Linked DNA regions of Mytilus edulis. The protein of the gene in region 1 interacts with the protein of each later gene in a pairwise test. Links are inferred from orthologs where the notes say so. Each region holds a gene or a part of one and is shown on either strand. Other genes may lie near its edges.

Region 1 (17,373 bases):
GCATTTGACCCCTATGTTCTATTTTAAGTAACGGCGGCCATGTTTTTTGACGGATCAAAAATCGAAGCGCACATTTTGTGCAGGATATACTAAGGAACAATCATGTTAAGTTTCATTCAAATCCATTCAGTAGTTTCAGAGGAGAAGATGTTTGAAAAATTGTTAACGACGACAGACGACGACGACGACGACGACGACGTCGACGACGACGACGACGACGGACGCCAAGTGATGAGAAAAGCTCACATGGCCTTTTAGGCCAGGTGAGCTAACAAGTAGTAGTTTACCATATGATGTTCCATGTATAGATATAGCTGACTCAGTACTAACCTGTTTCTATCCGAGTCAGGAGTAGATTTTTACAGATGTTTGAGTAGTTTACCATCAGTGTATCAAGTATAGATATAGCTGACTCAGTACAAACCTGTTTCTATCCGAGTCAGGAGTAGATTTTTACAGATGTTTGAGCAGTTTACCATACGGTGCATCATGTATAGATATAGCTGACTCAGTACTAACCTGTTTCTATCCGAGTCAGGAGTAGATTTTTACAGATGTTTGAGTAGTTTACCATACGGTGTATCATGTATAGATATAGCTGACTCAGTACTAACCTGTTTCTATCCGAGTCAGGAGTAGATTTTAACAGATATTTGAGTAGTTTACCATACGGTGTATCAAGTATAGATATAACTGACTCAGAACTAACCTGTTTCTATCCGAGTCAGGAGTAGATTTTTACAGATGTTTGAGTAGTTTACCATACGGTGTATCATGTATAGATATAGCTGACTCAGTACTAACCTGTTTCTATCCGAGTCAGGAGTAGATTTTTACAGATGTTTGAGTAGTTTACCATCAGTGTATCAAGTATAGATATAACTGACTCAGAACTAACCTGTTTCTATCCGAGTCAGGAGTAGATTTTTACAGATGTTTGAGTAGTTTACCATACGGTGTATCAAGTATAGATATAACTGACTCAGAACTAACCTGTTTCTATCCGAGTCAGGAGTAGATTTTTTCAGATGTTTGAGTAGTTTACCATACGGTGTACCATGTATAGATATAGCTGACTCAGTACTAACCTGTTTCTATCCGAGTCAGGAGTAGATTTTTACAGATGTTTGAGTAGTTTACCATACGGTGTATCATGTATAGATATAGCTGACTCAGTACTAACCTGTTTCTATCCGAGTCAGGAGTAGATTTTTACAGATGTTTGAGTAGTTTACCATACGGTGTATCATGTATAGATATAGCTGACTCAGTACTAACCTGTTTCTATCCGAGTCAGGAGTAGATTTTTACAGATGTTTGAGTAGTTTACCATACGGTGTATCATGTATAGATATAGCTGACTCAGTACTAACCTGTTTCTATCCGAGTCAGGAGTAGATTTTTACAGATGTTTGAGTAGTTTACCATACGGTGTATCAAGTATAGATATAACTGACTCAGAACTAACCTGTTTCTATCCGAGTCAGGAGTAGATTTTTACAGATGTTTGAGTAGTTTACCATACGGTGTATCAAGTATAGATATAACTGACTCAGAACTAACCTGTTTCTATCTGAGTCAGGAGTAGATTTTTTCAGATGTTTGAGTAGTTTACCATACGGTGTACCATGTATAGATATAGCTGACTCAGTACTAACCTGTTTCTATCCGAGTCAGGAGTAGATTTTTTCAGATGTTTGAGCAGTTTACCATACGGTGTATCATGTATGGATACAGCTGGCATCTTGACAGCGGGTGCTAAGTTAGGCTTGGTCGTGTGTGTCTGCACTAAACTGGGATGTAAATATCCGTGCTGACTATGTGGAGCATCATCATCTTAAATAAAGAGAATTATCATGCAACAAATATAATTAATATAGTTCAAAGTCAATTTAAAATCACTCAGTTATTCACACTGAATGCTGTTTTAGTGGTTAATTCATGCAGTTATTTATCTGTTTATTTCAAACAAAACATATGGCAAGGTCACAAAGTTAAGTAATTGCCCCTCATATTTATGATTTCATTTCACATGTTTATGAAAATATCTAATAATAATTTAGTACCAACTTTTTGATGTAAAAACATATTAATATCGTTCCTAATGTACAAAGCAGTGTAACATTCACTGACACTGGCAAATTAAACATGTAAAATGCATATTCAGGAAATGAACACAATAATTGTGTCAGATATGACTATAAACCCTGATTTGTACTAGACCGATACGCTTATCTGTATTTTCAACATGCTACCTCACAAGGTAACAGACTGCAGGACGACATGTCACCATATTCAGACACATTATTCTGACTCCAAACAGTCTTTGTTCTTACTCTTTTACAGAAGAAGCAGCAAATACTAATTATCGTTGGTTTAATCTGTCCTGGATTGTAACCTACATTGTTTATCAGAATATGATAAAATACATAGAATTGGTGAATGGTTTTTTATTGTATTGGGGTATTTTGGCCCCCCAATAGAATAAACATTTGGCATTGCTGGAACAGACCATACTAACCTTTGTTATCATCATCATCCTCTTTTATCTCTTTAGGTTTATATTTCCCAGATTTAATCATGTTAACCATATGTTTATAATACTGATTTAACATTGTTATAACAGACCATACTAACCTCTGTTATCATCATCATCCTCTTTAATCTCTTTAGGTTTATATTTCCCAGATTTAATCATGTTGACCATATGTTTATAATACTGATTTAACGGATCCTCAAAATGAAGAAAATCAAACTGTGAATTCTTGGCTTGTTTGGTCTTTATTATAATCTCCATTTGCATGCCATGACCAGCAATAAACTTGGCCGTCTTTTCTATAAACGCATGTTGTTTTTCTGATTCAGGCTAAAATTAGAAGTTATATTTAATCATGAAGGCATTATACAAGATCTTGTTTTATTACATTGTCAACCTTACTCCAATTTATGCTATTTCTTTGGTGTCGTGACCATTTATTGGTCTTTAGTTTTGATTTAACATAAAAGGAGATGTGATGTATGTGTAAACGAGACAATTATTCAGCCCTTCAATGAAATGTAGCTGAGAAACAAAAAAGTGTGAAAAATATTTGATATTCTGTTGATCACTGTGTTTATAGGCAATGTTCTGTTGATCACTGTGTTTATAGGCAATGTTAATGACATAGGCTTATGAAATCATCATTTTTATCTACTCGACTGAGACAACCATACTCAGTAGAGAAACATGATATGAAAATTATCACCAAAAAAATTCAAAGCAACATTTAAGAAAATGGTGATAAAAATAAGTTTGATGTTTGATTTCAAATAAAAACACTTGAATAAGTTTCATATTCAGTAAGGGCTGTTCCATTAAGTGAATGTTTGAGGGTAGGCACAGGAATGTCATGTTTGAACATGCAGTGTGGGTTATTAATTATGGATTTATGTCACAAATATAAATTAAGAATAACGCTAAGAAATATGGGAATTTTCAATGTCCTATGATATTTTCTGACATACATTTAAATGAAATAACCCTAGATGTAACTTACGACTTCCATTTCTGAAGGGACTTGTAAATCTTCTGGTACTATAAAAATAGGCTCTGGTTCTGTTGATAAAAAATAACAATAAATTACATTTATATAATTAAAGAAGTTCTAAGTTTTAAAACAATCTTTTCTCCTAATTTCGATAGTTTTGGCACATTGTTTGTACACATTGTGACTCACTTGACCAAAAGTTTTACCATCTGTGGTAATATTGTGTTTGTGATCATTTTTGTCAGAAAGTTTTATAAAGTTACACGTAGTTATAAGTTAGTGAAAACTAATTGTAGAAATCCTGGTTTATTTGTTAAGGTCAGCTTTTAAAATAAGAGATTTGTTTAATCGGCAGAGAGAGTTGATGTTTGAGCAATTGTTTTCTTGTGAAGACTGCCATTGACATCTATCTGTGTTGGAAAGGACAAAAATTTCCACAATATGACAGAGATATTAAAAAGGCCTATAGCTAGAACATGAGGTCAGATTGGACACAGTATCATCTGATTATCAAATTTTCCACATCGTGTTTTCATCAAAGTCTCACTGTCATGTGATGGAAGATGGATTGATTGGTTGATGTTTAAAGCCACTTTCAGCACTATTGTGCTATTGTGTGGCGGTCAATTCTTGTTTTTTTTAAGGAAGCCGGAGCACCTAATTCATGCAATTGGAAGAAGACTGTATGAGATATTGTACTCACTACAAATGATCTAACCTACCTTGTACTTGTGTTTCCATGTAATCTTGGTGATGTTGGTGATCGTAGCTAAATCCCACAGCATTGAAACCCTCTGATAGAGACTGATAATATCTCTTCCATTCTTCCTCTACACACACAAAAATATATGCATGACACAGTATATATACACATATATCAAGAACATTTTACAAAATATTATTTTAATTGCTTAAACATGTGAAAACAATTTTATTTTGTTTTTTTTTACTGATTGAGAGCACCATGCACATTTTGAAATAAAAATGTAATATATGAAGTTTTTAACTTGCCCTGTGGATTACTTCATTTTTCATGACCCGAGGAAACTTACAGTTACATAGATACTCGATTTTCTGATTTTGTCATCTGCAGTTAAGCTTAACGAAAATTTGTGATTTAAAATTCCATGTCATGCTTCACTTGAACCTAGATAATCCACATAAAATAATGTATGAATATAATTGAAGCCTGATCCTAACTTTTTCAAGTTTTTGGTTGTGAAAAAGGACATTTGATTGATTTTTTGGGTCATTTTCCTAAAGATGCAACATTTTTGTATGCACAAACATTTTTAAGTTTTTCAAGCAGCATGTTGACTGATCAGTATGTTTCAATGTGGAGTAAAATTGACAAGATAAGTGTTTCCAATCATTTTTTAATATTTCTGTCGAGGAATTAAAAGACCAGAAAGAACATAGATCATTGACGTCATACAAGAGAAATATATATTTTTTACCTGTACAAATATTAAACAGAATTCCTACCTTCGTACATCTTTTTACCTATACAAATATTAAACAGAATTCCTACCTCCGTACATCTTTTTACCTATACAAATATTAAACAGAATTCCTACCTTCGTACATCTTTTTACCTATACAAATATTAAACAGAATTCCTACATTCGTACATCTTTTTACCTATACAAATATTAAACAGAATTCCTACCTTCGTACATCTTTTTACCTATACAAATATTAAACAGAATTCCTACCTTCGTACATCTTTTTACCTATACAAATATTAAACAGAATTCCTACCTTCGTACATCTTTTTACCTATACAAATATTAAACAGAATTCCTACCTTCGTACACCTTTTACCTATACAAACATTAAACAGAATTCCTACCTTCGTACATCTTTTTACCTATACAAATATTAAACAGAATTCCTACCTTCATACATCTTTTTACTTATACAAATATCAAACAGAATTCCTACCTTCGTACATCTTTTTTTCTGCTAGATCATTTTTGAGTTCTAGGTATCTTTCCTCGTCACACCAAGCTTCCATCTGTTTATCTTCCTCGGATAGCTCCGCCCTCTTAACATGACTGGCATCGTATTTTGAAAGGTCAAACAGATGACCTCGTCCATCATATCTGAAGGTACAGAATAAATACATACATTTATAATGTGATCATAAAATGATAACCAGTAAAATTTAAGAATACTATTCTCTTCAATATGACCACCAACATACATATATACATCATAGCATTGCAAAAATATGCAAAAACCAAACACATGTTCATGCTTTCAAAGAACTGAGGTCATCTAAAAGGTATGCTTAAGAAGTTTTTCAGAGGAAGCCTCAAGGTTACACATATGTGTACATTTGTACAAAATATGGCTAAAATATTCAGATTTTCATTCCTTTCTATCATTTTTGTTTAAATTAGGAAAGTAACTGTTTTCTCAAGTTACAAAGCAGTAGATATAATATCAGTTATCATGATTTACCACATGACTTACACAGTAAAAAAAAATCTGAAAAGAGGCCTCACAAGCTTATTTTTTTTTAAATAGCTTCTCACTATTTCGGTTCTTGTCCATCCTCGACTTTCAAATATTCAGCTACAAGTGTTACTGATGAAGGTAAATTCAGAAAAGTGTTGAAGACTCAGCTACAAGTGTTACTGATGAAGGTAAATTCAGAAAAGTGTTGAAGACTCAGCTACAAGTGTTACTGATGAAGGTAAATTCAGAAAAGTGTTGGAGACTCATGAAACTTATATGGTGTTGTTTTCGTTTGTCATAAATTGTTCCTATATTTTTATATCTATATGTACACATGTATATGGTATAGTGTGTGGTCATACTGAAGATAATTTTAATCTACTTTTAAGGTGATTTGAGTTGCATATAGTTTTAAATTAAAACTAATTGCATTTAAAACAAAAATAAAACGGAATTCTAAACATATGTACCGTCACATCATGTAGTGTTCTCCTAAAGGTTATTTATCGTCATGGACTCATGGTAATCAGTAATATGATTTTAATTTTCTTGAGTGTGTATTACTATCTTAAGGATGTGATACAGTGTACTTTAACTTTTAGAAACAAGATGCAGTCATGGAATTTTAAATTAATTTGTTCAACAGGATGATTTATCAAATTTGATGGGAGAACACTAACATGATACAACACAACATGTTTCCTATTGAAAACTTTGGTGACCTACATGTATCACTTTATAGTTTTTATAGTCATTCTAAGTTGAACGAATTGTTTACAAATAATAATTAGATTGTAATACAAATACATCAGCAAACAACAAAATGTACCCAAGGGTCATGACCTTGAACATTGGACAATTGAATAAATTCAACAGACACTACCAGTTAGAAGGTTAGATCAAAAACATTTTTCAATAATTTTTACAAAAAAAATTCTAAAATTTAACCAAAAAGACTTTGAATTCAGCAAATTCATGCACATTTGGGAAAGCTTCTATTATAAATATTTATATACACATTCTTTAACGAACAATTTTTTCAAATCACCTTAAATTAGATTAAAATTTGTCACTATGCTAAACATGAAGATCAGTCAGATATTTTAAATTATTATAAAAATATGTTTGTTTCCATGTAACCATTGGTAACCTGAGTTATGATACATTATACAATCTTTTTTAGTAGGTCCCGATTATTACATTATTTATAAACAGTAGGTTTAGGAAACAAACATATCCTTATTTTACAACTGATTATACAATATAATAAAATCTTGTCAGAACTTTTCTTCAGACATGTTTTGCAAAAAGATTCTAACAAACAATATCATAAATTACTGACATGACTGTTATATGTTTTTTCAATGTCTAAAGTTACTATTTTACCATGTTTACAATCATGACAATAAATACTAAATTTAATAATTCAAAAAAATAATTTTTAATTTTGAAGTTGGATTTACCATGTTGATGATGTTTATAAACAAAGAGAATCTCTTATTATAGCTATATATAGTGTAATGATGCATGTAACCAATTTTCTTAAATTGTTGGCTAAGATGATAATGACAGATGTTTTTTTAGGCCTAGCCACAAGTTAAATGCATATTCAAGACAAGAAACGTTAATCATTGTTAATGTGATATATGAATAATGAAACCTTCTACATGTATGTACTAGATTCACAGGATGAGCTTTATTTTCAACATGCTAGTTTAAATCTAAAAGGTAACAGTTTGCATGAATACAATTTAACTGTCACATGTCTACTCAGACAAGTTATTCTGACTCTGAACTTACTCCTACATGTTGTGCGATAAGCACAGAAGCAGCAAATATGTGTTTTCAAGTCTTTGTTTCTATCTGGACCTGCTTCATCTTTACCTTTCCTCACCAATATGAATTATTTCAAAATTTCTGATTAAGTTCTATCAACAGGATTGTTTCAATAACATTCTCAGTTATCATGGTTATATATAAAGATAAATGCATCTGTTGAATGTTTAGGTTAAATATGTTTTTATGATCTATGTCAGAAAATAGAATTACTCTTTATTTTTTTACTGTGTCAGTGTGTGTAATTGTATTGTGTGGCAGAGATTGGACCAGTTGTTTAATTCTGGGACTTTAAGATGACTCATAATTGTAGAAAATGTGACCAATAATCACATAAACCAATACTTATCCTGTTAAATCAACACTTTTGTATAATTACCAACAGTGTGTTACTCTCTGTGTTATAACGTCACTGCAAGGCAATCTGAAATTAAACATTCTGCAAACACAACATATACATAGTTTTGTTCTTAATTACCAAATATCAATATTGCTCAAAAACAATAAAGACAATAAATTCAAAGGACTTTATATATTTATATACTAGTCACTGTCATGTAAAATTGGCACCTGGCTACTATCATGACTATCAATAGTATTCATTTAAGGTGAAGTTTTTTTCACAAGGCCAAATCTAAAAGTCCTAAAAAACAGGGAATGTGTCCATGGGACATATACATGTAGGGGCATAACTCTAGAACAGAAAAAGTGATGCCACCAAAATTCAAACTTGATCAGTGTTTTGTGGTAATAAGCAATGTATATTAGTTTCATAAAAAGGCGCTTGGTGACCTTTAATAGTGCACTCTATGTTGTTCCATACTAAAGCTACTGACCCTGTTTGTTTACATTCAAATTGAAATGGTAAAAAAAAACCAGGTGACGCATTGAATCATTATACCCAATCAAATTGCTCTATGGTCAATTAGGTGATTTTTTTTTAGTATAAATCTACTAAAAGCAATTATATTATTTATTTGGGCCTGTTTTGTCTGTTACTAAGATTGATGACGATTAATGGAATGTACACAAAGCAAGGGAAGCTAGAAGTGGGACTTAGAAGAGAAGAAAACAAATATTCTGCACTAATTTTGTACGCTGGTATTAGCATAGTGACGACATTGCAGATTTTTCCTGTATGATACGTAAAATAACAAAGTCCGAAACGAACGTGATGTCCGATTATAGTCTGCGATAGGCAAAAGTCATCAAATGAACATATCAGATCAATATAAAGATTTTGAGAGAAAACTTGGGCCGATTTTACATGACAGTTACTATAGTCTATATCATCAACTGACAAAAGCTTCCACCAACATTTGTCATATGGCAGGGCATTCCTTTCATTCATAAGGTCAAGGTCAGTCAGAAATTACTTTCTTCATTTCTGCTGTATTGTGTGTTGATTAATAGTTCCTAAATACATTATTCATGTTAACAAATTATTTGATCATTCAAGTACAATTATCCTGAAACGAAAATGACGTGATTAACGCGTTCGCGTCGCGAGAAATACGAGCTAATCGAGACCTGTAAAAGCAGCTGTTTCTTGAGAACCGACCTGTCAATCAACAGACTGGAATCTCCCATCCATGGTATCAGATGTTCTCCTTCGTCGATGGAGAAGGCTTTCCTGTCATCTCTGAATAGTTTACAAGCATAACCAAACACAGAGAGCTCCTCTGGTTCCTTAGATTGTTGATTTTCTCCCTCTGGTATGTCCCATATGAGCGCCGCCATCTTTGACGTTTTTCTAACGAATGGAATAAGCCAATTTGCGACAAATTTTCTAAAGAAATTTTAGTTTAACGCTATTTTCCCCGGTTATTAACATTTATTAATTTTCATAAAATCATTTATTCAACAGTCACCAAACATTGTAAGCATTTACACATAAATAAATGTGCATTTACAGAAACCTGATAACCCTAAAAGTAAAAATAAGATTGACCCTTTTCATTTCCGGTACAGAATGGAACCAAAAGTGAAAGTTACAGAAAGAATCAGAGAGTTACTTCAAGATGTAACAGAAGCACTGGACACTGACACAACAAATGAGATAGAAGAAATAAAAAAATACTTGATAAAGAATGAAAAGAACACCGAAATACCATTCAAACTTGTTCATTTTGCATATAAAAACAGAAAACCAGGTACACATCACATGATCAGTTGTTATGAAAAAGATAAAACTTTGTTTTTGTAGAAATTCAGGGCTTTGTTTGTTGTATCTGTTATGAGGTCTTGAAAGGCTATCATATTTTTGGTATCCGGTCGTTCCGGCCCCAAACCGATCCGGCCGCAAGTCAATCCGGCCCAAAGTCGATCCGGCCCAAGTCGATCTGGCCCCAAGTCAATCCGGCCCCAAGTCGATCCGGCCCCATAATAAAATATGAAATAACTATATTGATCTTGGAGGAATTTGTGACACAGTATAAATGGAATTTGCAAAAAGTGTCCGATGATGGATGACAACAGGTAAGTGAAGTATTGGAGTACCAGTTAAAGAACTATTTTAAATCGATACGAAAATGATTGTTATTGTGTCGTTGGTTGTATAGCAGCTTCAACATATTTTAAAATATGAAAATATTTTCCATGATAACTTTAACTTTAACTCATGGCGATTTCATTTTCTTTTTGTTCATACACAGAATATCTAAATAAATATTTACAGTCCACTGGAAGCTATTAAATTTAACTCATCATATGAGTCTATAATTGGTTTGTTTATTCAACAATTGTCTGATGATTGTGAACTAAGGTAATGCCACTTGTAATCACTTAATTAAATCAAATCCTGATTATTTGATCTTCTGGTTTAGGTTGGTATATATTTTAATTCTGACAAACCTTCGTCAATACAATGGTATACAGAAGTTACATGTAATAAATAGCACAATTATAAATTACAGAAAACATAATATGTACACTATTTACAAATATAAGTTGAACTTAGCCAGGAGAACACACACATGAATTAATATGCCTTATAAATGTACATAGCTTTTTCAAATATGATTGTTTTGGCATATTCATTACTTCCTTAAATTTAATTATATTTGGTGTATATAATAATTATAAATTGTATTTTTTTCAGGTAACATCACAGGCTTCTATTTACTTGTTTGTTTTTTTATAATATCAACAAGGTCTTTATAGATTGATATTTTGTTTGGTGTATATAATAATAACCTATAATGGTTTACTTTTATAAACTGTTATTTGGATGGAGAGTTTTCTCATTGGCAATCACACCACATCTTCCTATATCGATATATTTTTCATAAATTTGACAGTATTTTGAATAGTTGTGTGTAGAAAAAACACAAGTTATATGAGTATCCATTTAAGGAATGACTGTAATATTTTTTCTGTCAATGAAGAAATAACATAAAAAATTTGATGCACACTGAATAACGCGCGTAGCGGGTTATTTAACAGTGTGCACCACATTTTTTATGTTATTTCGAATAGACAGAAGAAATATTACAGTCATTTCTTATAATTTAATTCTAAATTCCATTTTAAACCGTAGAAAACCATGAAAAAACGTTGATGACGTCACGGTCACATGACTAAATTATGTATATGGGCTCATAACAAAATAACGTCAGCCAATCAGAAGAAGCGTTACATCCAAAATTAAATTATTATTCTTTATTGCAAGAAAATAACAAAACAATGACACTGAATGCACGTTTTCATACTCTAAAATATAATATCAGCACTACTAAAATATAACAATAACATCATACATACTAACTATCTCTGACACTCACATAAATATATATAACTTTTAAATCATTTACACTAACAGTTTTACACTGTCACTTACTTATTCTCCAATTTCATGCTCAATTAATATAAAAAAAAGTATAAGCCCAGTTATTGGCACTCAAACCTTATCTTTTTTTATTTATTTTGCGCTCTTAACAATGAATTAGATTATACTATTTACTTACCTTGACTGTGTAAGCAAAAAGTCACTGCTAACTAGTTTCTTGAATCTTCTCTTACTACCCTGCTCTTCTATGTGGTATGTTACCAGGGGCGGATCCAGGATTTCCAGACGCAAAGTTTTATTTTCGCCGAGCGGAGTGAGACGAAAAAATTTTGGAGTTTTTTGTAGGTAAAACTATTGAAATATTCTTCTAAAGGGGTGAAATGTAGATATCTCGAACTATTGTGTGGTAAAATTAGCGAGAAATTAAAGTTTCAAGCTGAAACCGCCTTAATCCACACCTGACAACAATCTACAGATAGACGGGCGGACAGACGGACGCAAAGTGAGACGAGACAGATCACAATTGCTCACCTGACCAATATATTTTTCAAATGAAAATTTCTACTTTTACCAGCGATTTTTAATTGTCCTTTCATACTACCTGTGTTTTACTTTTTTGATTTTCGGAGCTCGTGCCAAACTTCACTGTGTTCGCCACACACAACTAAAATCAGAATGAGATGCATTTACGCAGTTATATTTATTTTCTTGGGATCCCCATCATACAGTAATATGGTACAGAATTCGGCTAAATATTTAGCTTGCAAGTGAGAAATAAATATAGACACAAAGAAACAAATTAATAAACTAACCTTTCGCTTGAAACAGTATTTCTATCTTTTATTATGCCGGGATATTATAAAAGAATCTCACTGTTTGCTTGACCGTGTCATGATGAAATTGTGAAAGTGAGTAAGGGATGTTTTGGAACTTCGATTATCAAACAAATTGATTATAAAAACCGCAAATACAATGTAACATTTGTTTTTCTTTAACTGCTAAAAACCTATTATATTTGTCGTCAAACGCAGCTCCGCGTTTGACACCTTCCTTTGAAGTTATTTATAGAACTTTAATAAAGCGTAGGTCAGTTGATTAGTAATCACGTTGATTCTGTTAAACTGACTGTTTTATATACTTTGAATGTTAAAAAAGATTGAATGGTCTCTTCTGATACTTAAATATGTTGAAGTCAACCCATGCTTTGCAAATTTTAGGGGGGCGCCCGCCCGCCACGCCCCCGCCTAAATCCGCCCCTGAGTTACTGGTCTGTTACCGACAACGTTATCTGGAAGTTCTGGGTCTTCTATGTCACTACAAAATTAATTGAATATCAAAATTAGTTTTTATATCAAATAACTGTTTTTGAATATTTGGATTAGCAAGATTTCAAGATTTCATTCATAACCTCAGACACATACTTGTGTTCAAGAGGACAATATATAAAAACATATTAATTAAGATAGTCTTTCACATCATCTGAAGAAATTTTTTTTTTTACCGTACACCTTTAACATTATAACAAAAATCATAAACATTTATGAATTACTTTAATTTATATCTTTATTTTTATTCCTTATAAATATATTTTTTTATTGGGGCCGGATCGACTTTACATTTGGGCCGGATCGACGTGGGGCTGGATCGACGTGGGGCCGGATCGACGCGAAAGCCATATTTTTTTGTTTTAACGCCTTAAATTGACCTAGTCAAAATAATTATGACGTCTTGAAAGGCTATTAATATTTATATGATTTTGTGCTTTGACGCATTATTACATCACCTTACATCGACTGTCATGACAAAGGTGTCAAGCAATAAAATATGATTCTCTAATTTTTGCGCTATTTTCACATTTCCTGACCGGTGTGAGAAAAATATTTCTCCTCACTAGTGAAAAATCTGTTCTCGGCAAATGATTAGTCGAAATTTGATTATGACGTCAAAATGTTTTGTTTTCTTCTCAATTTTCCTATTGTGACGTCATGAAAAAAGGCGACCTTGCCTGATGACGTCGCATATAAAGAGCACAATTTTCTGAAAATCTTTGAAAAAGAACGATAAAAAGCATTAGAGAAACAGATTCCGACACTATAACTCGTGTATTACGATATTTCTCCACTCTCGACAGTTAAATTTTATTATTTAAAGAGCTCGGCAAGCCTCGCGCTTTAAATAATAAAATTTAACTGTCTCGAGTGGAGAAATATCGTAATACACTTGTTGCAGTGTAAGAATCTATATTACTATTAGCCGATCAAGACGTCATAATTATGTGGACTAGGTTTGACCTAACTAGTAAATGAGAATTTGGATGGTTCGGCCCAATTCCTGTGAGCACCAACACTTTCCCTGGTTTTCGTTTCTTTATTTCTTTTCATACTGGGTTATATCATAATTTATAGTAATCAGTCAGGGTTGATATTATTCAATAACTTATATATGCAGTACATTAGGTATTTCAAACAATCTATAGTATTGATTCAATACCCAGCCTAACAAATTGACTTATGAGAGACTATTTTGAACATATTAAAAAGTTGTATATATTCTTTAAATAAAATTAATCTGCTAGACTACTACATCTTCTTTGAATAAGCATCCTCAGTTTAAGAATGCCTCTAATTATATCAGAGACTCTGGCTAATTTTGTACTTAAAATTAAATAACAAAATGTTGGTTTATTATATTTCAATAAACAACATTTATGTATTACAACAAACTATGTAGACTCCTCTCCCCCTGAATGTCAATTTTATTTTAATGTAAGGTAGACAACTCATGAAATTTTATGCAAGCAGGTGGCTAATGTGTAGCGCTGGAAACTATTCAGTTTGTAGAACCAGTAGAACATGAAACATTTTGAATGTTTATGCAATCTGTTTATTAGCTACATTTATATTTAGTATATATTTAAGTTGATGTTACTTAGATAAAGATTTAAAAGGTAATTTTAATTTTTTGCGGATGCCCTCATGTTCACCTTAATCATGTTAATAGGATATATGTGTTATAGACATGCTGGATGTTAATAAGACATATGTGTTATAGACATGCTGGATGTTAATAGGGCATATGTGTTATAGACATGCTGGATGTTAATAGGACATATGTGTTATAGACATGCTGGATGTTAATAGGATATATGTGTTATAGACATGCTGGATGTTAATAGGATATGTGTTATAGACATGCTGGATGTTAATAGGATATGTGTTATAGACATGCTGGATGTTAATAGGATATGTGTTATAGACATGCTGGATGTTAATAGGATATATGTGTTATAGACATGTTGGATGTTAATAGGGCATATGTGTTATAGACATGCTGGATGTTAATAGGATATGTGTTATAGACATGCTGGATGTTAATAGGATATGTGTTATAGACATGCTGGATGACCTATTTGACAATTTGTGGCCAAATTATGGGAGCCCCATCCTCGTGACTTTGAAAGATTTGAGCAAGATATTATTTATAACATTTGAAAAGTGACTGCTGTTACCACCTAATGTGACATGTCAATTGATGGTGTCAATGATCACGTTACTGTCGAAGACAAAAACACAGCTTAAGTGTATATGTTTCATTATCAACCATACGAAAATAATACTGTAATTTTTCAGTTGATGAATTTTTCAAATAAGTAACATTTAATGATAAAACAATTCTTCCTTTTCAGAAAAATGCAGTTTATATTTAAATGAACTCTTAGAAAACAGCGACCTTATTTTAAAGGAATACATTCCACCTACAAGAGTAAGTTACTTATTATATTTTTAAACTTTAACCTTCCTCAGAAATTTAAGGAACTTATATCTTGTTCTGCATGTTCTTGTTTTGTTTATAACTTCATCTTCTGTTCTATATCGCACCAGAGGAGTGAATGTAAAGGATTTTTTTCACGAGGGAAATGTCAGTTTATTAATGTAATTGACTAGGAAATACAATATTTTCACTGAAACAAATGTTATGCATGAAATGAACAAAATCTTAGTAATTTTATACCAAAAGATCATTTCACACAAGTTTTTGTTTTTAGAATCCAGAACTAGAAGCTAGAATTAAGAAACTGAAGACACAACAAGAAAACAAAGACTACAAAAAGATGACAAAAAATGTTGGAACATTCAAGGTAAACTATAGTTATTATAGTGCTAAAACAGACGTTTTGGGGTCTTTTCTGAAGGGTTGTCTCATTGTTAATCATACCATATTTTCTTTTTATGTTATTATAATCTTTGTATAGTTTAAGATAACACAAATTGAAATGATTCCCAATAGAAAACTTTCATTATTACTACTTCTTGTACAAGTAATAAAGATCATTTATGTACCTGGGACTACAAAGTTTAATCAGTGATACTGGCATTATGATACTTAGGTGGACCATTTAAATTAAAAGCTTAAGATATCTATCGTATTGTAGTTATTCAAGGCAATCCATTTTTGACTGTTGATCTGTGATGTCCATCTGGCACATTTGAGTTGTCCTTGGCCTCATTTCAAGGTGAAAAGGCATTTATATTGATATAAGATGAAGTAAGCTTTAGGTTTAGTTATCTCAGCTACAGTTATTTTAATTAGAATATAATTGGTGTACATGTCACTCTTACTGGATACTTATAATCTTGACCTCATTCTCATGGTTCATTGATTCATATTGACTGGATTCTTATGATCTTGACCTCATTTTCATGGTTCATTGATTCATATTGAATTTAGTGAGTAGTTCTGTGTCTGAATTACTTCATTAGATAAAACTTGTATCTAAGGTCTTTCCTGATGCCCTAACACAAAACACACATGTAGTTTGTTACACGAGAAACATAATACTATATAATATGTATTCATTCAAATTAGACTAATGATCAATATAAACCTTTTATTTTCAGGTTCATGAACCAGGTTCAATAGGAAAAGAATGTAAGTTATCTCCCCTTATGAAAAAACTTCTTTGTTTAGCATAGCAAAAGTTACCAAAACAGAAATTTTAGAAAAATAAAATATATACATACTATAATGACTTTAAAACGCTCCATATTGTTGAAGACCATATGACGACCTCTAGATATATTTTAGTTATTTGTGTCCCTAAATGTATTCGCTGTTACAACATCTTGTTTTACTTATATAAAGTTGAACAATCTGTAATTTAAAAAAAGGCCTTCCATCTCACCCATTTTCATTTCCGCATGCTAACTTTAGATTGCCTCATACAAAATTAATGAAACACATACACATTGCTAAGAACCAAAACTCTCAGAGTTCAAATTTAGGTAGTAAATAACTTAAGGTTCTAGAGTCAGGCCCTTTTATAACTTGGAAAATTGCTATTTTATTTTAGATTCCGCATCCAAACTTACATTTGTTACATCCAAATTTTATGAAACTCATACACAATACTTTCATTTAAAACAAATATGACTTTTGTCTGAAATATTTTAAATCTTTCAAATTCATCTATCTATAGGGTTATTCGTACAAAAATTAAAACACCATTAATTCTGCATTATGTTTATTTTTCAGTGAAAACACTGAACAATCAGATGATAGGAGTGTTTAACTTTGTATTGACAGTGGGCGGGGCTTTTGTGTTTGGATACATGGCTACAAAGTATGCCTTTGCTGATTCTGGACAAGATTCTTTCCCTTTGGTAAGTTAACCAGAATGCTACAGACATTTTGATATTTTAAAGGAAAGTTATTCTCTGTCTAATTACCGTATATCTTTTGGAATACAGTACCTGAAGTCAT
Region 2 (17,658 bases), on another chromosome or scaffold:
GCGGATCCAGCCATTTAAAAAAGGGGGGGTCCAACTTTATGCACCCATTCAAATGCATTGATCGGCCAAAAAAGGGGGTTTCCAACCCCCGGAACCCCTCCCCCTTTTGGATCCACCAATGCCATTTACATGCCATTTACTTGGATGATTTAATGTTTATAAACATATAATAGAGAATAGAAAGAAAAAACTTGTCATTTGTGAACGAAAGAAAGAATGCCCATTAGAAAAATAGAAAAAAATCATTATTTATCATCTTATCTTTCCGCCTTCTTTTTAGTTATCATGTTTGGTATTGTCTCAACAATTACTGGGGAAAAAAAGCATCATTAGTACTTTAGACAGATGTTATATATACTTGTATGTGATTGAAAATATATTACATACATATATATAATTGTATCGTCTGCTTTAAAAATGCAATTTATGTTTTATAGTGTGTCTTTCATTGTTGTGTTGTTAAACTATTGTTTCTGGTTAGTATGACGGTTGGCGCCTATTAAACGTTTCAACCCGCTGCATTTGTTTGCATCTGTCCAGTGGTTATAGTTTGTAACGTTAATGTGGTTCATTAGAGTTTCTAGTGTTTTTAATATAGATTAGGACGTAAGTTGGTTCTCATGTTAAAACCAAGGATTTGTTTTACACTAGTCATTGTTGGGGCCATTATAGCTTGCTACATGCGGTTTGAGCCAAGCCCCACGGTGTTGGAGGTCATTGTTGTGGCCAATTATAGCTTGCTACATGCGGTTTGTGCCAAGCCTCCGTGTTGGAGGCCAAAGTTTGAGCAATATTACTGTGCTTATCCAGTGACCTTTGGGGTATCACAATAGCATGTCAAAATTAGACCTTCTTATTCAGTGACTCATACTATAGTAAGTCATTTTTGTGTTTGAAACAAATGACAAAGATATCAACTAACTGGATCTGGATGGTAAGTATAACTTTTGATTTCACAGCACTCACTTCATACTAACAACATTTCACTTGAGCAATCTGCTAAAACATTTTACCAGTTGATCAGTTAGTTGGAGAAGAAATCTAACTGCAATTTGGTAAACTGTTTGAGCCATTGCTATTGTGATACTCCAAAGGTCATTGGATAAGCATTGTAAATGGTTTACTTTTACAAGTTGTGACTTGTAAACAGGATGGAGAGTTGTTTCATAGGCAGCAATGTCACATCTTATCTATATGGATCTAGAAACATTTCACATGTCTAGGAAGTTTAATATAGAAAGGGGACATTTCCAGATATATTGCATCTTCGCTAGACAATGATTACGATCACTCCCCACCTTTACCCTTGACTAGCGTAGATAGTCTTATTTGAGTTTCGCATAATGCTGTCATGGCGAGAATTCCCAAAATAAACCCAACTTTTTACTGAATCAAATTTCCGCATTAGATTGTTGGTATTTAAAGCTACTTTTGTGATATTTCCTGGCGGCCAGTTTTTGTTTGTGGAGGAAGCCGGAGTGCCCGAAGAAAACCATCGACCTTCCATAGGAAAACTGGCAATCCTAGGCAATCAAGATTGGAGTCGAGTGTACCTACACGAGCGGGATTTGAACTCACTCAGTGTTGACTGGCTAGTGATTACGGTGGTGGTAGTACTTCTTGGACTACTTGGCCACCGAGACTCCTTCTGTGTTTGAAAGACAATTATCGATTCAACATGCAAATGGTTCCGTCTTCACATGAGACACTGTTAATGGTACAAATGTATATTATTCACATAAAACAAGAATGATGGACACTGTTCTTTTTTATCTTTATTTTAATTATCTTAAATGCGTTAAGGCGAGTCTAGTGGTTCTTTGATGGAGCAAACTAAGATGAGGTTTGATAAGCAACATGGGATAAGTCTCCTCTTGAGAAGTTAGCAAACCCAGACCAAGAATTCATCGACCACTTGCATGGGTTGACTGCCAAATCAATTACATTTGTAACGCTTAGGACGATGGAATGCTTGAACTGTTTAATGCATGAGGACAAGTCTGACAGGTGCGTTTTGGGGATATTTTTTTTAAAAGACACACACCTTGTGTTGCTCTCTTTTAAGACTGATGACAATAGTCTGAATTTAAAAAAAATAAATCGATTAAAGATAACCATCAAGTGATCAATTTCCTAAACGGAATCCAGGTAATCTGATTTTCTGTGCACATGTCTAGTCAGTCTTTTGTGAAGAACCTGGATACTTTTCTAGCCTTCACTTGTAACTGCATCTGACAAGAGGGACAACACAAAACTTTATGAAAGCCATCAAATGCAGAACAAACAAACTTTAACAATTTTGTAGTGGACTTCTTTTGGAGAATCATACAAGGTCAGTGGTTAAGCCTGAAGGATGCCTCTGGCTGCAGGAGTTTCTCACTGCATAGAAGACCTATTGGTGATCTTCTGTTGTACTCAGATCTATGGTCAGGTTGTTGTCTCTCTGACATATTCCCCATTTCCATTCTCAATTTTATTCAATTAGTTAAATTGAAGCCTCTATGATAATGCTCTTATGTCAGTTAATCTTTTGTTGTGTTAGTTTCTTGTCTTACTAACCTATATATTTCCGGGGGGGGGGGGGGGGGGGGGGAAACACATTTTATCTGTAATGTTGATGGGGAAAACTTCATTCAGGTGTTTAAGTGTTAAATATGATTTCTTTGTTCAAAATCCTGGAATAAAACACCATATCTGAAGTAATTTATTTGTGTATTTGATTGTGATTGTTTTATGAGGTTCACATTTAGTCAAACACCAACAAACTATCAAAAGTAACTGCTTGCAGAACACCAAGAAATTAATTCCTATTTTAATACAAGGGTTAACAAATTTCACAGGTTCAGTCTAACTGAAAAAACTACAGAAGGGATGTTCATTTAACTGTATGGAACCTCATTTCATTTCGTTTAAAATTAGGATTTTGCATCCAATAAAATTGAGAATGGAAATGGGGAATATGCCAAAGAGACAACAACCCGACCATAGAAAAAAACAACAGCAGAAGGTCACCAACAGGTCTTCAATGTAGCGAGAAATTCACGCACCCGGAGACGTCCTTCAACTGGCCCCTAAACAAATATATACTAGTTCAGTGATAATGAACGCCATACTAATTTCCAAATTGTACACAAGAAACTAAAATTAAAATAATACAAGAGTAACAAAGGCCAGAGGCTCCCGACTTGGGACAGGCGCAAAAATGCGGCAGGGTTAAACGGGGTTAAAAATGCTTTTTGTAGGAAGTACCTTACTCAGCATCACTTCATGTTTAATATCTCATGTTACAACACTTTGAAGGGTCAGTAGGTGGTTTTCCAATGTCTTGAATATGAGAGCAATATTTGCCACTGGACATTAAGCTAGCACAATCAAACAAGCAGCTTCACTTTCTACAGGTGATATGGATTCTTTTGGCAGAATATATTACTTTGAAAGAGAATATCTGTTCATCTGCTAATTTTTAATATACATTTATTTTTTGCTATGGAAGTTATGTACAAATAATTTTTAAAATGCAAGAACATTGTTTAACAAAGACAATAACAGGAAAAAATTTGAAAATTTATCCACTAACAAAACAAGTCAGGAAAAGACAACTTCGAAATATATATAAAATAAAATATTGCAATAAATCCCAACTTAAAATGGAATTAAATCTTCTTTATTTTGTATTCTATTCAAATGCTAGATGCAATTTGTGTTTTAAAAATATCCTGAGAATTACGGGAGATATGGAGATCTACAGGCAAATACAACCAAATTTAAACTTTACATTATTATCTGCATATCAATAAGTACTATATGTGTGGAATATAAACACAGTATAAAATTTGAAAACATTGTTTTTAAAGCACTAAATGTCATTTTGTTCCAGAAAGACAATAATATCAAATCATTTATGCAAAATTAATAAACAATTTTTAAATCTGGCTGTATAATTGCACCGAGTCTTCCTATAAATATGAAAATAACTGTTCATGCAACAAGAGATATATGAAATATGACATCAATGACAATTTAAAATGAACACTTTGTTTCGTATATGATCATGGCATATTCAACGAGACTCTAGGCAGGAATCAGCCATGTTTGATTGGTCTCTCGTACAACATTTTTGCAAGACATTTGTAAAAACAGGCAGCATCTCTTAATATCCAACATTCTCGCAATAATTCACCTTCAGTTCTTGAGTAGCATTTGAACATTTTTATTTTTCGTATAATTTATATACACTGTCTAATTAGTCATTTTGTTATGCTTTCACGCCTCCTTTATTTTGCACCGGAAGGTATAATTTAAATTCTGCGGGTAATTCATCTTCTGAATAAAGTCTGTCTGAGAAGTAAACTCTACGAATTCGACAATTGGCATGAATCTGAAAAAAGAAATAGAAACAATAAATCAAAATATCACTGTAATAAATGGGTATTAAAAAATGCAAAACTGTACATCAAAAGTTTGTTATAAAATTGTTGAAAGGCTACCATCTCTCAATTCTTTTTTACACTATTTCCTGAAAAGGACCAATTTCTTTTTTGTTCTTGTAAAATAAAGTAACTATTTGTTTGTGTGGTACAATATATTTCCTTATTTTACCATAATTCCCAAGACCTTAACCTTAAACATAAGATTGTGACAATTTAACCTGATTTATACATTGACAAGTTAATCAATACTAACCTGTACTCTAAGTGTTTCAATGTAATTTGTTCCATAGGCTCTCCTTGTGAAATCTGACAAGTTGAATTGAATTTGATTCCATCCATCATCTAACCTCATTGGCATAGTACATATAAATGGTTTTACACGTGTTGTACTTTGGTAGTTACTAGCTCTGAATCTTCGTCTCACATTTTTGTCATCTAAGACCTAAAATATTACAGAAAGAAATGTTATAAAAGGACTTAAGACCATCATGGTTAAGTCATTGTCTATTGACTCGTCACTTATTTATACTAAATTGCAACAGAAATAGTAAAAAAAACATTTGAAGAATTATGCACATTTGTGTGTTTATTTATTTATATTTCTGAACAGAAATCCAATGGGTTCTTTTAAAGTAACATGTTTTTTTTTGTAAAGATAAGTTTCTTCATTTAACATATTCACATTTCATGCTTAGTGATAGAATTGCATAACTAACATTTTTAGGTCGACTTTAAATTAAAAATATAATTGCTACATTCTTACCTGTACTTCAAATGTGAAATATTTCTTTAAGTTTTTGATGATCATAACTAAGAATGGAAGTTTAATTCCTAATGTTTTCTTTGGGTCTGCTGGACATGTGATGTATGTTGTGCTATAAATAGAAAAGGGAAATATCAAAATATTATTCATACCGGTACATTTGTTACTAGAAATAAAAAGTATGTTCTTTCAATAATTAATTTTAAAATTCAGTCAATAAACATACAAGATTTAACATAAAATGTGCATTTATTTAAGTAGAAAAACAATTCAAACTTGTTATGTTGTAAGAACAAATAATTTTAACACTTGTAGCATAGAAAATATTTAAAAGATTAACATTTTAAAGAAAATATTTTCAAAGTACTAATGTGTTACAGAATCACTTTAAAAACTTGCACATGTCACTTGACATAATAAAGATGTTTAAAATAATATAGGATGCAGTATTCAACTAATTATATTGAATATGTAATGTTTTGCATAAATAAGAATAATTAAAATTGCATTAAATGAAAGTTAGCTATATTTGTCTCATTAAATAACCAAATGCATGTATATTTGTGTTTGATTATGTGTTACCATAGATGTTACTTAAGGGAGATAATTCAAAATTATCTCTTTTTCAAAACAAAGAAATATTTGTTTATGGTTGATTAAGTACATACCTGACATTTGTACCAACAATTTCTAAAACTAAGGACTGGATATCGTTGTCTGTTATACGTTTAATATGACCATTTCTAACCTACAACGATAATAACATGATGTTATAATATTGTCTATTAGAATGCAAATGGCGGCCATGATGTTGATGATCAGGAAACAAAATACTATCTTGGCAACGGAGGTCTAACTCCATGCAAAATTATATAACATACTTTATTTATCGTTAACTAGTAGTGTTTTTCTAATAAAATGTTCTATAATGTGCAATTGAATGAAAATAATGACATAGAATTCAATGAAGCGAGATGACGAACATCTCCATCTTCATAAACATCAACATCACATATGGCTACTAAAAGTGACATTACTTCCGAAAAATTAATAATTGTACACTTCCGTCATCATAAATCTCGATGGTAGTGTATAAAATTAAAATATTTGTGTATAACATATAACATTCAAACACTTGTAAGTTGTTTACACGTGCACTTCCGTGTGTCAACAAAAACAAAAGTTTCTTGCTTGTCAAATGCCTTAATTTTTCGAAATAGAAATCTGGTGATGACACCATATAATATTAAACTAATTGTGAAGCAAGTTATGCATACTGTCATGTTATTATTAGATGAAGTTGAAGGTTTTCATGTTGACATCAATGTATCACTATGGTAATGATAACCGGTGTATAGAATGAAAATAACTTACCTTTTTGTCCCAAATTTGTAACGGTTTACTTCCAATACTGTAAAGTATGGATAAGAACCCACTCTGAAATGTATTCTTGAACATTGTTATTGTCTATAATAGTGAAAATTTTCTAAGTTCTTAGTCCTCCTGGACAGCACACTAATACGCTCCTTCTCTCGTGGTGGACAGTTGTCAAGTGAAGGTTCAGTTGTGTGTCGGTTAAGTTAGAGAAGTTGCCAAGGGTGGCGATACGGTCGCGCTTGGTTTTAGTTGCTACGTGTGACGCTAGGGAACTATATTGAGAATTAGTATAAACACATATATTATTGTTATTCTTTTAAATTATTTATATCAATAATGCAGTTTGAAAATTACCAGAAAGTTTCAACCTATGTCATGCCTTAATTAAAAAGATATTTGAATATATGGATTTGGAGTAGTGATATATGTAGTGGCACGCTTAGTACTTCTGTTGTAGCGAGTAGACGACACACGTGGTTTTATTTACATTGATCATTCGTTGTTTTACAGTGTATTTTTTGGTGAATATCAACAACTTAAGTAATTTGTGGAATCTGATTAAAAAACTGGTCTTAATATTTGCAAGAGGTAAATTAAATAGGTGTTTGGCGATAATTTCATGTCAAAGTATACTGTTTTCTAAAAAAAAAAGATTTATTTTTTTCCCCGTTTTTTTTTTTACTGAAATGATGAAGATTGAGTGCTGTAAAACGTCTAGTGGTCCATTGATAGAAAATCATGGCGAATCAGAGTTAACCACTTGAGGTAAGGTTAGTACTAGCCTTACTCGTCTATATAATGCCTAGTGTAGAATATGTTGGTTTTTTATTGGGGGGAGGGGGTCTGATTAGAAAAAAAGAAACTGATATCAATTGTAAAGTATACACATCCTTTTAATTAAAGTGTATTTGAATTAAAAGATCATAAGAATCCGCAAGCTTTGTCAACCTTTATTACAGTAAATTTAAATAGTAGCGGATTGAGAAAGCTCATCACATATTGATGCAGTTTGGAGTATCCAAAAGTAACGTATTTTTTTAGTAAAAATAGATTTCGTTTAATATTTAAATATTTTTTTCATATTGATAGGACTGAGCAAATTGGTGTATTTGAAATATGATGAAATATCATTGATTATAGAAATTATAATTTACTAAAAAAAAATTATATGAAATAGAATATTAATGTGAACTCGGCGTAGTATAAAACATATAACCTTTAACTTATCATGCTTATTAGGTTTTCCCCCGAATAAAAATGGGATACAAAATACATCTGTGAATATAGCCATTGATCATCCCAAGTAACTAGATTGCGTACATAAATCAAACCGTAAGATTTCTCATTTAAATTGTTTTATATTTTTCATTTTGGGGTCATTTATATATAGCTAACTATTATGCGGTATGGGTTTTGTTCATTTATGAAGGCCGCGTATGGTGATTTGCACTTGTTTATTTATGTCATATGGTGGAGAGTTGACTTATTGGCAATCATAACACTTCTTATTTCTAGGTCTTAAAGGAAAGATAAGATAATTTACGCTGAATCTCATCTGCATGATCAAACAATGACCCCCCCCCCTTTTAACTTGAAAAAAAAGAAAAAGAAAATCCTTTTCTTCAATTATTACAAGTCATTTGTGGCTGGATAGCGATATTTAAACTCCGATTATAAAATTTATTTGTATTTTTATACAATATTATATTGTTTTTATGTGTATGAAAAAAAAGAAAACAATATTCAAAGTTCAGAATAAGTAATCGCAAGTTTTAAGATGAAACTTGGCGATATATTGATCCAAATGTGCTTTATGAAGTAATAATTGCGACAGATGTTATTCTGATGATGTTGAGGATGAAATTCATTTTTGTCGAGCCTTCGACTTTAGTCGAAAAAGCGAGACTAAGCGATCCTACATTCCGTCGTCCTCGGTGTCGTCGTCGGCGGCGTCCACAAATATTCCCTCTGTGGTTAAAGTTTTTGAAATTTGAATAACTTTCTCAAACGATCCTGGATTTCTACCAAACTAGGACAGAAGCTTGTTTATGATCAAAAGATAATATCCAGAAGTAAATTTTGTAAAAATAAAATTCCATTTTTTCCGTATTTTACTTATAAATGGACTGCCTGGAAATATTACATTCACTCTGTGGTTAAAGTTTTTAAAATTTTAATAACTTTCTTAAACTATCCTGGGTTGGTACCAAACTTGGACAGAAGATTGTTTATGATCATAAGATAGTATCCAGAAGTAAATTTTGTTTTCTTCTAGTTAACATTACATTCAGTGTACAGTTAAATTTTTTAAACATTTATTACATAAACTATCCTGGATTTTTACCAAACTTGGACAGAAGCTTCTTACAATCAAAAGATAGTATCAACAGGAATATTTTATTGATTTGTTTCCTCATTTTTGTTGAGCTTGCGATTAACAGAAAGAGTAGGCGAGACACTGGGTTCCGCGGAACCCTCACGAATTTTTCTTTTATAATGTTCCTATTTGTCGACCCTTCGACTTTAGTCGAAAAAGCGAGACATAGCGATCCTACATTCCGTCGACGTCGTCGGCGTCCACAAATATTCACTCTGTGGTTAAAGTTTTTTTTAAAGTTTTAATAACTTTCTTAAACCATACTGGATTTCTACCAAACACTGACAGAAGCTTTTTTATGATCATAAGGTAGTATCCAAAAGTAAATTTTGTAAAAATAAAATTCCATTTTTTTCCGTATTTTACATATAAATGGACTTAGTTATGCGTTTACTTTTCTTAATTGGCTATATATATAGAGATCTCATAAACATGTTTAACCCCGCCGCAATTTTGTGCCTGTCCCAAGTCAGGAGCCTCTGACCTTTGTTGGTCTTGTATGATTTTTAATTTTAGTCTTTTGTTTATAATTCGGAGTTTAGTATGACGTCCATTATCACTGTACTAGTATACATATTTTAGCGGCCAGCTGAAGGACACCTACGGGTGCGGGAATTCTCGCTACATTGAAGACCCATTGGTGGCCTTCGGCTGTTGTCTGCTATATGGTCGGGTTGTTATCGCTTTGACACATTCCCCATTTCCTTTCTCAATTTAAGTTTTTATGCGGGGAAACATTACATTCACTCTGTGGTTAAAAGTTTTTAAAATTTTAATAACTTTCTTATACTATTTTTAATTTGTACCAAACTTGGACAGAAGCTTATTTATGATCAAATGCTAGAATCTAAAAGGAAATTTTGTCAAAATTGTGTTCCTGTGTATCGGCATGCATTTCACTTATAAATGCACTTTTCTTCCAATTAACATTACATACAGTCTGCAGTTAAAGTTTTTAAAACATTTATTAGATTCATAAACTAATCTGGATTTTTACCAAACTTGGACAGAAGCTTCTTACAATCAAAAGATAGTATCAAGAGAAATATTTTTATTGATTTTTTTCCTCATTTTTGTTGAGCCTGCGACTTACAGCAATAGTAGGCGAGAAACTGGGTTCCACGAACCCTTACGAATTTATTTAATCAGCAGCGGAACCCCTTATGAATTTATTTAATCAGTAAAGAACTTTTTTCCTTTACTATAGCTATATCACCGAAAAAGTCCATCTTTATATACATAGACATATATGCAGATGTATATGTCTCGGGTTTTATTTAAGCATCTTAAAATAATCTTATCATAGGACTTTGATTAGCAAACAGTAAAATTTTGGTACAATACCCGGTGATTTGAGCATTTATATACATAAGGAGAAGACTCTGTCCACAAGATGAGCACGTACTAATTCCAACCAATCCAATATTGATAGGGTTGACCATTTTTATGAAAATATGGAGATGTGGTATGATCGCCAATGAGACAACTATCCACCAAAGTTAAAATGAAGTGGATGAAACCATATTAAGCACGCGTACATTTACAGGGAACATGGATGATTAGCAAGTCAAGGTTATGCGACACTTCAGATTGCTGTTTGCTAAACGTCCAGTTGCAAATATTTCATGTATGTTTGCTGTGTTCGCCGATTACATTGGTACTTGCAGTAAAATACGGATATTGCTTAAATCATATTTACGGTCATGAATTTGGGAAACTAAAAAGGAATAATTCTACCTAATGCAAAGCTGATTCCTTGTTCGGTTTTGGCGATACTTGTTAGGTCCCTTTCGATTTGATTTCCTCTTCGTCGTTTGTATTGGTGTTGGTTTTTTAAAATAATTTGGTCTCCAATTATCTTTGAAAAAGACGTTGTAATACGCATCTAGTGCATTAAAATTAGCGTATCGTTCGAGCTGTAATCCACCCAACTGTGTAGCTAGTCACACAGTTTTTCTGATCTCATTTTCATATTTTTACTCGGGTGATAGTGTTACTCTAAAACTTTTATTCCATTACACAAAGATGGAGATTTTTCCAAATGAATATCAAGTACACGGGGATTTTCAATTGCATGATTTTGAAAAGAATGAAAAGGATGTAGATTTTTTTTTTAATAAAATCTAGACAAATAATTTTCTAGGGAGGCATTGTAAATGCACTTTTCAACAACATTTTCATTTGAAAATAAATACAAAACTTCCCAAAATCTCTCCTATACTGGCAAAAATTATTGCATCATTTTCAATTATTTCACTTCAGCTATTTTTATTTTAGAAAAATGCAAGACTCACGCGAGACTACTCTAATATTTATTTTCATTGGAAAGATTGAGTCATGTGTCAATATTATGACATTATGAGAACAATTTAGCGTTCACGAAGTTGTTCATTGTGTCAGGTTGGTGTTAATTAGGCACATCGAAATGTGATCGAACGTTTACAAATCCTAAATTTGATACTTTTTAATATTTTAAACCCCTCAAAAATAAAATAAAAAAACCCACCTTGCAACACCTTCCATAGTTCCAGTCAATGCCAGTAAAAACCAGAAAACTATAATTTAAACATATTCTTCTTTCCAGTTCATAGCTATGAGACTGCAAGACAACATAATAGTGGGTAAACCGTTTTCTCATTCGAATTGTTTCAGGTAGATACTATTTGATTTATTTTGGGTGCTATGATGAAATTTTTTATCCAGCCTTTTTAAGTTGAAATCTCTGTCCCGACTTTTTACATACACTCAAAACTCATGTTCTGCCTTTTTTTCAAATAACATCCTAGCTCCCTTATGATTGTCATTTCATTTTTTTTTATTTCTTGCCATGCAGTATTGTTTTTTCTCATTGTTGCAGACTGTACAGTGACCCAAAGTTGCTAGCTACTACATCATTTTCGTCTCTATTGGCATGCATACCACACATTATTTTTTGTATAAAAAGAAATCCATTTGTTTGAATATTTTCTTAATCATTAGCTGCAATGAACTTTTAAATTGCTACAAAAATAACATGGAACCAGGTGCAGGGCACAGCTTTATACGACCACAGATATCAAAACCTTAACAGTTGGGGCAAGTATGGACAAAACATTCAAGCTTGATGCAAGTACAACTCTGAATTTGGATTGTGATCAAATTCTTGACATAATATGAGTTTCTGACACAAAACAAATGTCAAGATCTTACAAATCTATTATGCAATATTGTGCAATTAAAGATTTTTTCTTCAAACTTTTCAAAAATTTAGGGAAAAAAATTGAAAATTACTACCGCCCCCTTGACATTTCTTTATACATAATTTACAAGTAGTGTAAGGGAGGTAAATCTGAACATACCCAACATTGAATGTTAACTGTTTTTGAAATTACCTCCCTTACACTGCTTTTAAATTGTCTTAATTGTCCATTAACCAGAAAAACCTAGTTTCCCCCCCTTGTCTAAAACATTTTGAGCCATAACCCCTCAGTCATAACTAAACATCCTTTTTTGGTATGGAAACTTGTGGTATAATTTCAGAGAGATTCATACACTTAAACACAAGTTATTGTTTAAAAAATACAAAAATGCTTATTTTGGGCCCCCATTTTGGCCCCTAATTCCTAAACTATTGGAACAAGAACCCCCAAAATCAACCTTCTTTTAAAAATTTATGGAGATCCATTCACTAAATCTAAAGTAATTGTCCAGAAAACCTATTTCCCTCCCTTTTTTTGCCCCTTATTCCCCCTATTTAGCCCCGATTTCCAAAACATTTTGAGCCATAACCCCCAAAGTTATAACTAACCATCCCTTCATGGTATGGAAACTTGTAGAGAGATTCAGACACTTATACACAAGTTATTGTTTGAAAACTACAAAAATGCTTATTTTGGGCCCTTTTAGGCCCCCAATTCCTGAACTATTCAGTCCATAACCCCCAAAAGCAATCCCAACCTTCCTTTAGTGGTCTTTAACCTTCTGGTAAAAATTTATAGAGATCAAATGCGTCCTCCTCCGACAACATGATACCATTATACAAGGCAAAAATTTATTTTAAGGTCGTATAATAAACTTGTCTGGTAAATCAATTAAAAGCTTACTGCAAGAATATATGTACTTTTATCTTTTTTTCTCGAAAATTGACTGCTCTGTTGTTCAGTATATCTGCAATGTGACCTCAGATCTGTTTCTGCAGGAACATTGCCGACATAAAATGCTCTGCAGGGTGCTGCTTGATAGACCACAATGGTCGAACCATGAACAGTTGGAGCAAGTATGGACATAACATTCAAGCTTGATACAGCTCTGAATTTGGATTGTGATTAAATATGACACAGCATAGGTTTCTAACACAATGTGTGGTCCAAGAACTTAAATTTTTTAAATTGGACATTAACCTTTTTTGTTCCAAGATCTATAAACTAAATACATGGTTAGATTCAGCATATTAAAGAACCCCAAGAGTTCAAGAATAAAACCCCATTGAAATTGGTCATGAAATAAGCAATTTATTCAAAGTATATTCCTCAACAGTTAGGGCCATAGCCCCGAAAATCAATCCTAACCTTCCTTTTTTGGTATGGAACCTTGTGGTACAATTTCAGAGATCCATACACTTACACACAAGTTATTGTCTGGAAACTAGAAAAATCCTTATTTGGACCCCTTTTAAGGTCCTTATTTCCTAAACTGTTGGAACCATAACCCCCATATTCAATCTTAAACTTCCATCTGTGGTTTCAAACCTTGTGTTTAAATTTCATAGAGATCCCATAACTTAAACTTAAGTTATTGTTTGGAAACTGAGAGTCTTCGGAAGATGCGGACGATGTGATACCAATATACAACGCAAAATTTGTTTTTGTGGTAATATAAAAATTTATACAATCTTTGCTTCTATAGCACATGTTTGGAAATTTCATGGACATTGCTTGTCGAAGACCCATATCAATGTTCTCAAGTCTGTTGATAGCCTGCTAATAGGTAACTGTTGTATTGCAAATGCTAACAACCAATGATCCCATTTGTCGATCCTCTTTTCAGATTTTACTAGCTGATATCTGCTGTAAACTGTTTTAGTCTGGTCCGACTAAAATGTCTCATTAAGGTTAAAGGATAATATTAACAGTTGGACATTTCGTGCCCTACAGTTCAATTTATGTGAAGAAAGCATTCAACTTCATGATCTTATATTCACAAAACCCACATTAACTAGACAAGTTCTTCACATCTAATTATACTTTCCATGCTCATCGATCACTAAATCTGGGCTAAATTGGCAATATCCTTAGTTGGCACATCTAATAAAAGTTTGCATCAATTCATAATGACCATGTGTACTATTTTCACAGCTTAATAGTACTACAAGAAATTCATACCTTTTTTCATGGTTTTTCTCATTTGAATTCTCAACATTACCGTGTACCTTTTATTACAGTCAGATATTTTTTTAGGACTATTCATCAAGTTCAAGTTTGGCCATAAAAAACAAGAGTGAACTTTATTAAATGTTTCATATTTGACTTGGCAATAGGTAGACATGAACCACAGCTAGTTCATCTACCTTTACATATAAAAGTATTCTATGATATGACACGCACCAGAATCAAATTATAAATCTTCAACCAGTCATCTCAACTTTGACCTTATATAAAGAAAGGGAGATAATATTCATAATTATCTCCCTTGCAATATCTGCATGGGAGACAACTTCAGATTGAAATTAACATTCTGTTGTTGTAGACAAATTCATTTCATGTTCATTTCACAAATGAACAATACAAAAAAACATATTACATTTAAACTTACTAAACTGAATGTCTTTTTTTTAGACAAATTTTATCAAAAACAATTTCAAATTAATTTTAAATACACATGGTTTAATGTTTTATACAAATGAAATTTCATGTAAACAAGACAAAAGAAACAAACAACACAAGTGAAATGTCAAAAGGAAAATTTGTCTACAACAAGAAATAAACTGAATCCCTTTTTCCACATGACAATAAAAAATAAAAGGACAACTCTCATTTCTGGGGCAACATGTGAAATAATTAAATTAGGTATGATGGAAATAAGTAACAAAACAGTAAATTATGAAAAAACAGAGCAATCATTCAAAAAATTAACAATAACTTGTCACCACTGAATTAAAAGAGACAATACCCTTATTTGAAGTACTTTTTTCACAGGATATTCTAATACTGACAATATAATTGTTCATCATGATGTAAATACACAATTTCATATAGAATATATTGTTAAAGCTGTTTTCCCCCAAGCACAATATTTGTGAAGGAGAATTTGAGTTATCGAGATTATCAATTCAAAGTCCTATGACTGATAAATGCACTGTTAAATAATTGCCAAAATTTTTTTTCAGATCTATACCAAAAGGTTGTGCTTCGGACTGATGTTTGTTATAATCTTCAATTATAAAACTTTTTTAAGAACAATATCAAACATTTATATGCATTGCCAGCTAATCAAACTTTCTTTGTAAGGATCTTTGGAGTCTCACTCAACTGTCACAAACATATCATTACAGCTATAATCTTCATCAATAAATGCTCCTTCAAATGATTTTTCCCTGGTCTCTCTTGCTATATTTATAATATGATTTGTTTTTTTTATTATTATCTAAATCATTTATTTTTCATTAACCTCATCTTATGAATATATTTATGCATTTCTCCCCCGAGACCATTCATAAAAGTCAGCATAAATTAGACTCAATGTGTACAGTCGAATGCTAATGTGAATGTTCTTTTCTGATGCAGATATTAACCAGTCATAAACAACATGATGAGAATATTTATATGAAAACAGATCTGTGAGAGTCAAACGATACAGTGATGATAAACTATACATTGTAAACTGAAAGACATTATAATTCCAATGAGACCTGCTTTACAATATTATATAACAGCAATTAAAATCATAATTAGTAATAATACCTTTTCATTCTTAAATTCATTAGACCTAAAACATTCCCGTCTTTATCAAGCTTTATAATATACCTAGTTGTACATACAGGTGAAGTTAATGTGTAATACAATGGCAATCATTATGTATCAGCCGACCATGTCAGATGATATTAAAATCAGGTATTGTTGTACAAGATTTATAAAAACCAAAAATCTGTATTACATAAACACAGCAGCATCAAACTTGTTGTAAGTACATAACTCGCTTTGGCAATATCTAACACCTTATCAAATCTCAACAGAGGTGTCTTGATTGATACTGATTCAATATTGTCTGCCATATAAAATTTATATTTGATATCTGCATTCAGTTTAAAGCGTGTTATTCAAGTTCATTGTTAATTCAAATTATGTATCAAATATTTTAACAAACATGTTTACCAACCATTCCCAGAAGACCGTTTTAGAAGACATTGGTATGAAAATAAATATCTTTTAGACTAAATATAATCAGATGTTAAACATGTGTAGAATTTTCAAAGGTCACTCAATCGATGCCCCGGCCTTATGTCTGACAAAAGGTGCACTGTATTGAACAGGGAAATATCAAAAGTGGGAAAAGAACTAAGGAGAAGCTACAAATGCATACATCTTGCTGGACACATTGCCTCTCACTTTTCTCAACAGCTCTGTAAATCAATTTCAAACCTTTTCCAGATACACACAAGTAAGCACCTGTTAGACAGGTGATGTATATAAAGCTTTGCACCAATATTTTTTTTTTTTTATGGCAACAGTATTTATTACATTTTCGCTACCTACTATAATACATACATATCCAACTTGTATCATTTTATCTCTCTTTTTTTGTGATTTCCTGTATGGTGCAAGTCACTTTGCTAAAGTTTAAGGGATCTCTACTATTGAAAACAAATCCCTATGTGTCTTTCATAAAAAAAAATAACAAGCCAAGTTCAGAGTAACAATAACCGAAAATCTCAGAAGTTATGAAATCAATCAAAATCGTCCGATTTTCTTGCATTTTCTCTAGCCCTCTCTTGTGTGTATTTAAATCACAATTTAATGTATTTTTTACTGATAGAAGTAAATACCTGATCTTATTGAATGCATAATGTCACAAGACATTTATGAAAAACATACAGCCCATATCAGTATTCGGCTACACTCTTTTCAATTATGCTTGGGAATATATTTAATCTTTATTATGTTCTATTCCTTCAAAAAAACTGAAAATATCAGGTTCAATTTTAGCACTTGTCAAGACATAAATTATAAAATCATCAAACAAATCATACATCATAAATGAACAAACTAATTGACATAAACAATGCTGTTGAAGAGACAATATTATCTTTCCATTGATTTAATATCATGTACTATGTGAAAAAGTAAAAAAACAAAATACTCTATATGTTAAATGATTTAACCCCATTTTTCAAACCACTACTTATGATTACTGATAAAAGTAAGAAAGTTAACATCTTTTCTTTCAATCTTTTTTGGCAAAAAAATAGTCCTTTATTCAATAAAACAATTAAAATGTCTTATTTAGCTTTCAGAAACATGAGTAATATATTTGAGAAGAAACAGTTTTGCCGCTGGGCGAGTATCGTTACCCTATAATATGAATGATAACAGGTGAACAAATGACATGTTTATCTTTGTATTGCTATTGCCCTGTTGATTTGTTCAGGTCATCACAATTTGCATTAAGTCGACACAACACCAGCTCACTAATAAATATTCGTCATCATCACCAGGCGTTCCCTGTAGCTGATGGCA

Evidence for each region.
Region 2: the proteins of splicing factor, suppressor of white-apricot homolog (region 1) and cilia- and flagella-associated protein 20 interact in binary tests that used the Drosophila melanogaster proteins (3 or more experiments, as listed by UniProt). The link is inferred for Mytilus edulis from reciprocal best matches to the Drosophila melanogaster genes su(w[a]) and Bug22.

What each region holds. Positions count from the first base shown.
Region 1 is NC_092349.1:92,201,389-92,218,761, reverse strand, and holds the start of splicing factor, suppressor of white-apricot homolog, read right to left. Parts: upstream 9,602-17,373; 5' UTR 9,567-9,601; coding exon 9,388-9,566; exon of another isoform or gene 9,357-9,387; intron 8,251-9,356; exon of another isoform or gene 8,206-8,250; intron 5,633-8,205; coding exon 5,472-5,632; intron 4,358-5,471; coding exon 4,250-4,357; intron 3,596-4,249; coding exon 3,537-3,595; intron 2,867-3,536; coding exon 2,638-2,866; intron 1,837-2,637; coding exon 1,659-1,836; intron 1-1,658. Other genes in the region: transmembrane protein 199-like, read left to right, coding at 9,799-9,979, 15,299-15,375, 15,659-15,751, 16,512-16,542, 17,146-17,273. UniProt on the Drosophila melanogaster protein: Regulator of pre-mRNA splicing (and, possibly, of other RNA processing events). Regulates its own expression at the level of RNA processing.
Region 2 is NC_092348.1:4,764,683-4,782,340, reverse strand, and holds cilia- and flagella-associated protein 20, read right to left. Parts: upstream 7,003-17,658; 5' UTR 6,652-7,002; coding exon 6,568-6,651; intron 5,942-6,567; coding exon 5,862-5,941; intron 5,306-5,861; coding exon 5,194-5,305; intron 4,873-5,193; coding exon 4,684-4,872; intron 4,379-4,683; coding exon 4,256-4,378; 3' UTR 3,458-4,255; downstream 1-3,457. UniProt on the Drosophila melanogaster protein: Cilium- and flagellum-specific protein that plays a role in axonemal structure organization and motility. Microtubule inner protein (MIP) part of the dynein-decorated doublet microtubules (DMTs) in cilia axoneme, which is required for motile cilia beating.